Linked DNA regions of Schizosaccharomyces pombe. The gene in region 2 interacts genetically with the main gene of each other region. Each region holds a gene or a part of one and is shown on either strand. Other genes may lie near its edges. The genes, in order: abc3 and fip1.

The links.
Region 1: mutations in fip1 (region 2) and abc3 impair growth when combined (synthetic growth defect), as found in Schizosaccharomyces pombe (one study listed by BioGRID).

The regions. Positions count from the first base shown.
Region 1 is NC_003423.3:120,551-124,479, forward strand, and holds the start of abc3 (multi drug resistance-associated protein abc3), read left to right. Parts: upstream 1-2,091; 5' UTR 2,092-2,196; coding exon 2,197-3,929. UniProt on the Schizosaccharomyces pombe protein: Iron-regulated vacuolar transporter that mobilizes stored heme from the vacuole to the cytosol in response to iron deficiency.
Region 2 is NC_003424.3:4,232,787-4,236,715, reverse strand, and holds fip1 (Fe permease Fip1), read left to right. Parts: upstream 1-1,947; 5' UTR 1,948-2,219; coding exon 2,220-3,413; 3' UTR 3,414-3,718; downstream 3,719-3,929. Other genes in the region: Fe transporter/Cu oxidase Fio1, read right to left, coding at 1-1,077. UniProt on the Schizosaccharomyces pombe protein: Permease for high affinity iron uptake.

The DNA.
Region 1 (3,929 bases), on a different chromosome or scaffold from region 2:
GTGCTAACGAAAGCGGAAGTACGTAAACCTGAAAGGGTATTACAGCTGCATTCGGTAAATAAAAATGAAGTTCGGTAGGGAATTCTCTCACATAAGGATATTGAGGAGTAAGTAGTAGGAAAAAGCGGATGATAGCATTGGAAGGGATAATAAATTTTTGTGGGAAATGAGGGGAAGAGGGAAACGAGCAACTGGGGAAATTGATAGGAAGAACGTTGATGGTATTGTTAAGTGAATGAATAGAAACTCAGAGACTCTCACAAATCATTTAAAAAAATTTTCACTAGTCGAAAGTTTTTACGGTATTATTATTTTCATCTTTTCAAAGCATTATCCCAGTCTTACCACGAGATGTTCCTACATAATATGCTGCGCTTTTCATAAAAGCACATATCCTGCAAATATCTCTTCCATTTAAGATTATTTCGTTTATGCCTTACCCATGGATCTACGATTGATATCGAAGTTTGATTGAATTATGATTTCTTTGATACAATCACGAGTTATGTAAATGATATCTGTTGTGTTCTCGTTTTAGTATATTGGGTTTAACCTTTTCAAATTTGTTGCTAAATTTATATGGCACAGATCAGAGGTCGAACCCTTTTATTATTGAACTACTTCTTCTTCGGCAGCTCTCTAGTTGAGTAGCTGGCAGTTATGCTTACCATAATTGATTAGACATATCAATGAACTTAAGCATGTAGCGGTGCTCGACCGTTCAGACTAAAATAACAAGGTAGGGTCATTGGAGAAAAAATCATAAAGAAAGACATTTCGATATTTTGCAACGTCGGGAAGCAAATTGGCTGGGGTAATAACAACGACCGTTCTCATTAGTTTGAACTTATTAAAAAGGGGAAATAGTCATTGAAGCACTTAGTTTTTGTTTTGAATGCTAAAATGGTATAATACGTCTGTCTTACTAAATATAGCTACCAGTCTATTTATATCAAACTTATAAAAGCTAACAAACTAAGATCTTCGCATTTCAAGCAGAAAATCATTGATTTGTAATATATATTAATAGTATTTTTGTCAATTTGAGTATTGTTTACTATTTAAACTTTTCTTGAAGCAATTTGAAGATCCTAAGTTACTAACTTTTGCTAATAAAAAATAAAAAGCTTAGGAATATTTACACAAACATAGAATCAATTTCTTTTCTTCTTTTGTTTCCCATTTTTTTAAATTGAACAAAAATAGGGAAAATCTTAAAGAAAGCAAGCAATTTATTATGTTATCGAATTATCAAATATTTTTTACTTCTTCTTCAGCATTATAATTTCCTAACTAGTTTTGTTTACAATCAAGAATATAAAATTAATGCAAATGATCAAAATTTGCATTCGTAAGAATTTTTATTCAAGTGAGTTCAACTAATTGTTGTGAGGCCTAATTTATGTTAATCCATACTTCACAAAGATGACAATCTTCGAATAAACAGCTGAAATTATGCTTCATTTTATATTTAGTTTGTTTTTGATTTTATTTTGGAAAAGAATTATAGTTATAAAATTTTATATACTGGATACTTATACTTTTCCTAATCTTAGGACTTCCTTTGTCGTCTTTTACCACCTCAGTTAAGGCTTTGCTTGTTGACATAAAGTATTATTGAAACTAGAGAAAGTACTATAGACGAGTTTTTCTGTTTTATTAACTTCGAAATTTTTAACGTGATAAACATTGCTAAGATGCGCAAAGTTTCACTTTAGATGGAACGCTAGACATCCAGGTGCGTTTATAAGACGAGAATCATAACTATAGTTTATATCTAAAAGTTTGATATTTCTAAAATGATATCGTTTCATAAAACTACAAAATATGAAAAAATCTCAGTAGGTATTCTTTCAAGGTCTTCTCTTTTATTGATTACAGAACACATCTACAACAGTGAATTAGAGGTTTGCTTGCCCTTCCTAATGGACTGAAGACACTTGACCGGTGTCGAATCTAAACTCCGAGTTCAAGAATATTTAACTCCGATTAATTTATCAGATGTTATTAAGCAACATAATGAGATTCAGCGCAAACGTTATTAGTCAACTACCAACACTTTTATAGATGGTGATCTGATATCCTAACATTAACTTTATTTTGAATCCTACATAGCGCTCCGATTACTCTACTTAGCCCTGTATAGAAAGACTTAAGCATCGCTTTTAATAAAGTATTTGGATAAGTATACATGTAATGATCACCGCAAACAAAGGCTTGTCTCTGGTTTTGCTTATCCCAAATTTATTCGCTTTAGTTAGCGGGGGCTTACAATATGTTTTTGACGTTAGGAGACGGATCTTTCGTCCTCACTTTTCGCAATTTTGGACCATCTGGATGAAGTTCTTTTCGATAGCACTTGTTATTATTACACAAATATATGTGGGATATAAGACAAAAAACATCGGGTGGAATTTTTTTTCAGTTGTAACTTATTGTTTCGTATTATTTTTACAGTTTGCTGAGCAATCAACTCTAAGAGTTCCCATGGCTTCTCTATTGATATTTTGGCTTCTGAAAGTAGTTACCTCACTTTTGATTTTGTTGTTCAGTCCCTATATTGCAATTACCAGTATGGCTCGGTTGCTTACTTTAATTACTCTGTTCTGCTCGCTCGTATGCTTTATTAGTGAGGTTTATGTCCCGCCTTGCAATCGTGTCTGGTATTCTGATGATACAAACGAAGTTGAAGAGAAGGGGATAAGACCTTCTGAAGTTCGATATGCGAACATATTCTCAAAGTTATCATTTTCTTGGATCAGTTCTTTCATAAAATTTGGTTACACTAACTATTTAAAGGAATCTGATGTTTGGCTACTTCCTCCAGATGAGCGATCTGGCAATTTAATAATTGGTTTTGAAGACTGGTGGATATACCATTCGAAGAATAAACGAAGAAGTCTGTTTTTATGGAAACTTTTATTTTTTAATCATTGGAAACTTGTAGCTCTAATTACCATCACAAAGTTGATTCAAGATGTACTTGCTTTTGTTCAGCCAACATTGATTCAGAAAACCATTCTCTTTATTAGTTCTTATACTTCTCCCAATCCTGAATCCCCAAGTAGAGGTTTTATAATCGCTATCTTGGTTCTTGTCGCTAATTTCCTCCAAACTTTATTACTACAACAATATAATCAGCTTATTATGTTGCTTGGAATGAGATGGAAAACGGAACTACTTGCATCTATTTATCGTAAATCTCTTCTTCTATCAAGTTCAGCACGCCAAAATCGATCTATTGGTGATATAATAAATTACATGGCTGTCGATACTCAAAAAATAAGTGATCTGCCGATATATTTATTCATTATTGTTTCAGGTCCATTTCAAATTGCTTTAGCTCTTTCAAATTTATACCACCTTATGGGATATAGCGCTTTTACGGGTGTCGCTGCATCCGTTATACTATTTCCATGCAACATTATTGTCGCCAATGTGTACAAGAAGTTTCAAAGTATTTTAATGAAAAACAAAGATTCCCGTTCCAAATTGATGACCGAAATTATCAATAATATACGCAGTATTAAACTTTATGCATGGGAAACCCCATTCCTTCAGAAGCTACTGCATATAAGAAATACTAAAGAATTAAGTATGTTAAAAAAAATTGGTTTCATCACTGCAATTGGTGATTTTGCCTGGATTTTTACTACCATTATTGTTACAACTGTTGCTTTTGGAGCCTTTATTATTTTCCATGGGAAAACTCAAGCTCTCACTGCGGATATAGTATTTCCTGCTGTAAGTCTTTTCAACCTGTTGCAATTCCCATTGGCCATGTTACCCACAGTAATTAGTTCTTTGTTGGAAGCATCTGTATCCGTTTCTCGAATATATGAATTTCTCATAGCACAAGAATTGGATTACAATGGGGTACAACGATTTCCCGCTACAGAGATTCCTCATGAAATTTGTCTTGAAATTAA
Region 2 (3,929 bases):
GATTTCTGCATAGTTGGCACCGTCACCAAGGGTGAAAAAGTCAAACCATATGTTGATGGAATGATTGGATTCCGTGACATCCCAGCTATAGAGAGGATTCAACTCTGCGTCGTCGTAGGAATCGATTTCGTCAATGTCAGGCCCTAGATCGTATGAAGCATCTGAATTGTAAGAAAGCCAGGCCGTTACATTGGGGTTGTAATTGTCGGGAATCGTATCGAATAGCGACTCGTCCATGTAAGCGGTGATGGCATAGTTGCGATCGGTGGAATTCTTCGCTGTCACAAGCACACTGTAACGTTGAGCGACTGTAAGGTGGATGGAGCTAACCTCTTGAGGCTCTGTGTACTCGCCGTCCACTTCGATGATGGTCATGTTGTGATCCTCGATCATGACATCGTAGTTGTTGAAAGCGCCAATGTTGATGAAGCGCAAACGATATGTCTTACCAGGCTCCATGGCAAAAGTAGCGTTGGCAGTATCGTTGAAAAGACCGGTATCGGGGACTGGCTCGGCACCGGTGGGATTTTTCCAAGTTTTAAATTCATCGGGCACGAGAATGTTGAAAGGAGTATAGTACCAATCCGTCATGGAAATGATATACTCCTCATCGTAATCGTATGGCTCCTCCAACGCGTTGATGATAAAAGGGGTACGAAGGCCATCGGGGTATTGGGACATGTCGTGAGAATGAACCCAGTAGGTGCCATTCTGCAAAGCGGTATAGTTGTAGTAAAAAGTGGCACCAGGAGGAATTTCGCATTGAGTGCTTTGTGGCACTCCATCCATGTAAGGAGTGAACTTTTGAAACAAGCCATGAGAATGCAAAGAAGTAGTTCGATTATTGGCGAGGGAATTGGTCATCTTGATGATGACTTGGTCACCATAGTCGACGACAAGGGGATCGATGGGCCATTTGTTATTAACACCAATGACCCAGCGGGAATTTCCCGATCCATCAGGGTCGACGTCGTAAACGTCTGTGACATTCCATTCAAACAAGCGTTCCTTGGCGACGACGAAGCGAACGCATGTAAGAAGAAGGCCGAGAATGGGGAAGGAGAAAAATTTATTCATTATAGCGCGCAAGAGAGAAAAGAAGAATAAGGAAAGATATTAAAAAAAAAAAAGAACAGAAAAAAAAGAAATGAAAACAAAGAGAGAGAAAGGCAGAAAAAACAGCAGAAAAAAAAAGAAAGGGGGTGTACTTTTATCGCTACCGTTTGTCCAGTGATGGCTTTATAAGCAAGTCGTTTTTCAACAAAACCTACAACAAGTTGACTTGCGATTTCAACGTCGCTTTGACCAGCTATTGTTTTGCCTTTTGAAATTCTTGATCTGATATCTTTATACACTGACAAAGGCCCCCAACTTAATAACCACCAGCTTTCTTCTATGGCGATACGATACGATACGATACGATGCTATACCACGATATCGAACTGCACCCAACTAAATTCGCAACCACTTAGTGAGCTATTGTGGATCTTCTAACCAACTTTAATGGATCGGTTCGTCAAATCCTTAATTCGCAAAATCTTCTCACCTGCCTATATGTGAACGAGTCGAGCACCAAAGCAATCCAAACACAAGTCAAACACTACGCTACGGTAAGTTAAGTTACGGTACTTTGCGTAGAAAATCGAAATCCGCTCGCCCCACCAACCGAGTATATATAGGATGGAGGGTGTGGGTGGGGTCGCACCCTCCTCTTGACGCCATATCGGATAAAAATGAGATTGACCAGTTTGTCTCTGACAACAGAATAATTCATCAGATATGCTCCTTAGGGTAAGGCAAGATAGGACAGTTTTGGGGTCGGAGTTGGTGTCCACTTTGATCGGTTGCTTATCTACCAATCTGGACAAAAGTTATCAGATGTAATCCAGATGCCTGGAAGAAGTGGGTCAAACAGATTAAAAGGGCATGCTTCCCCCCGGCCTGTTTGCCCTAACGCGGTGAAAGGAACGAGACAAAGGACATTGGCCTGTGGCTTGAGTTTTGTAGTGGATCGCTTGAAACGACTGTACACTTGCACATTCAAAGTACATTACATTGCATTGAATTGAAAGGCATCGCACTGCATCGCATTCTATACCCGTTGACAAATTGTGGAAGGATACAATTCGTATTGAAAAGGTTTGAAATTTATTTCATTTTATTTTTTTCTCTCTCTCTCTCTTTCTTTCTTTTCTTCTCTTTTACCCACCTTCTCTACCATGGCAAAAGACGTCTTTTCCGTCGCTATCTTCTTCATCGTCCTTCGTGAGACCCTTGAGGCTTCCATCATCGTCTCAGTCTTGATGTCCTTCATCTCCCAAACACTCATGGATAAAGATGGAAACGTGACGGATCCAAAACTAAAGCGAAAATTTATGCTGCAGGTTTGGATCGGTTCGTTTACTGCTTTGTTCATTTGTTTAGCCATTGGCGGTGGCTTTATCGGTGCTTTTTATGCCCTCGACAAAGATATTTGGAGTGGTTCCGAAGAAATTTGGGAAGGTGTCTTCTCTCTCATCGCTGTCGTCTTGATCACCGTAATGGGGTTCGCTATGCTTCGTGTCTCGCATTTACAGGAGAAATGGCGCAAGAAACTTATGAAAAGTATCGCCAATCGCAAGGCCAAAGGTATCTCCAATTGGGGTAAAAAGTATTCCATGTTTCTCCTTCCCTTTTTCACCGTTCTGCGTGAGGGTTTGGAAGTCGTCGTCTTTGTCGGTGGTGTCGGTTTGGAAACACCTGCCACCGCTTTCCCTCTTCCAGTCATTTGCGGTCTCATCGTTGGTTGTCTTATCGGTTACTTTATCTATCGTGGTGGTAATGTGATGAACTTGCAATGGTTCTTGATTGCCTCAACATGTATCCTCTACCTTATCTCCGCCGGTCTTATGTCCAAGGCCACCTTTTACTTTGAAATGAATAAGTGGAATCATCAAACTGGTGGTGATGCTGGTGAGCTCGGTGATGGTCCCGGTTCCTATCCCTTCAAATCCGCCGTTTGGCACGTCAACTATGGTAATCCAGAGATGAATTCCAATGGTGGTTACATGATCTTCAATGCCATTCTAGGTTGGAACAACACTGGTACCTATGGTTCCATCCTTAGCTACATCATCTATTGGCTTTTCGTAGCCTTCATCATGTTCCTCATGTGGTACAAGGAACGTCGTGCTGCAAGACTCCTTATTGCCAAGCTCGGCGACAAAGTTGTCGACTTGGAGGCTGCCTCTTCACACACTCCCGTGCAATCCTCCTCCTCTGAAGATGAATTCAAAATCAATTCTCCTACCGATGATAAAGGCGACAAAGCCATCGATATCGTTACCGAAGTTCGCGAGTCTTCTTCTCCCGTCGAAGAACATAAAGACGACAAAACTGTCGATGTCATCAATGAAATTCGTGAGTCTCATTAAAGTAGTCATGCTTGAACGAAAAATCTTGTTATTCTTTTTTTCCCCTCCTTTCCCAAATTCCCCCTACAATTGATTTTGTTTCTCTTTGCAAATGAACCCACTACTGATATCTCTCTTTGCATTCGTTTGCTGTTTTTGCTTAATGTCACCTTGTATGGGTAAATTCTTCCCTCCCCCGGGTCTTCCTGATTTTCTTTTTTTTTTATTTGGGTCCTAACTTTCAATATTTCCCTTTTATTCTTTTCCTAATTTAGTCAAAGCACAGGTTGTTTTAATAATTCATTTCTTTAATGCATATCTATCTATCTATCCATCCATCCACCAATATATATGTACCCACTTATGTATATGTATATGTACAAGTTTCTCACACTTTGTCAAGTTTTCAAATGTCTTTCTAGTTTATTAATCTTCACTTACAAACCTAACAAGTAAAAGCCGTTGTTTTGATGTGTGCATTGACTTACAACACTTCAAATCCATCTTTACCATATTTGTTCCCCGTAATACTCATTA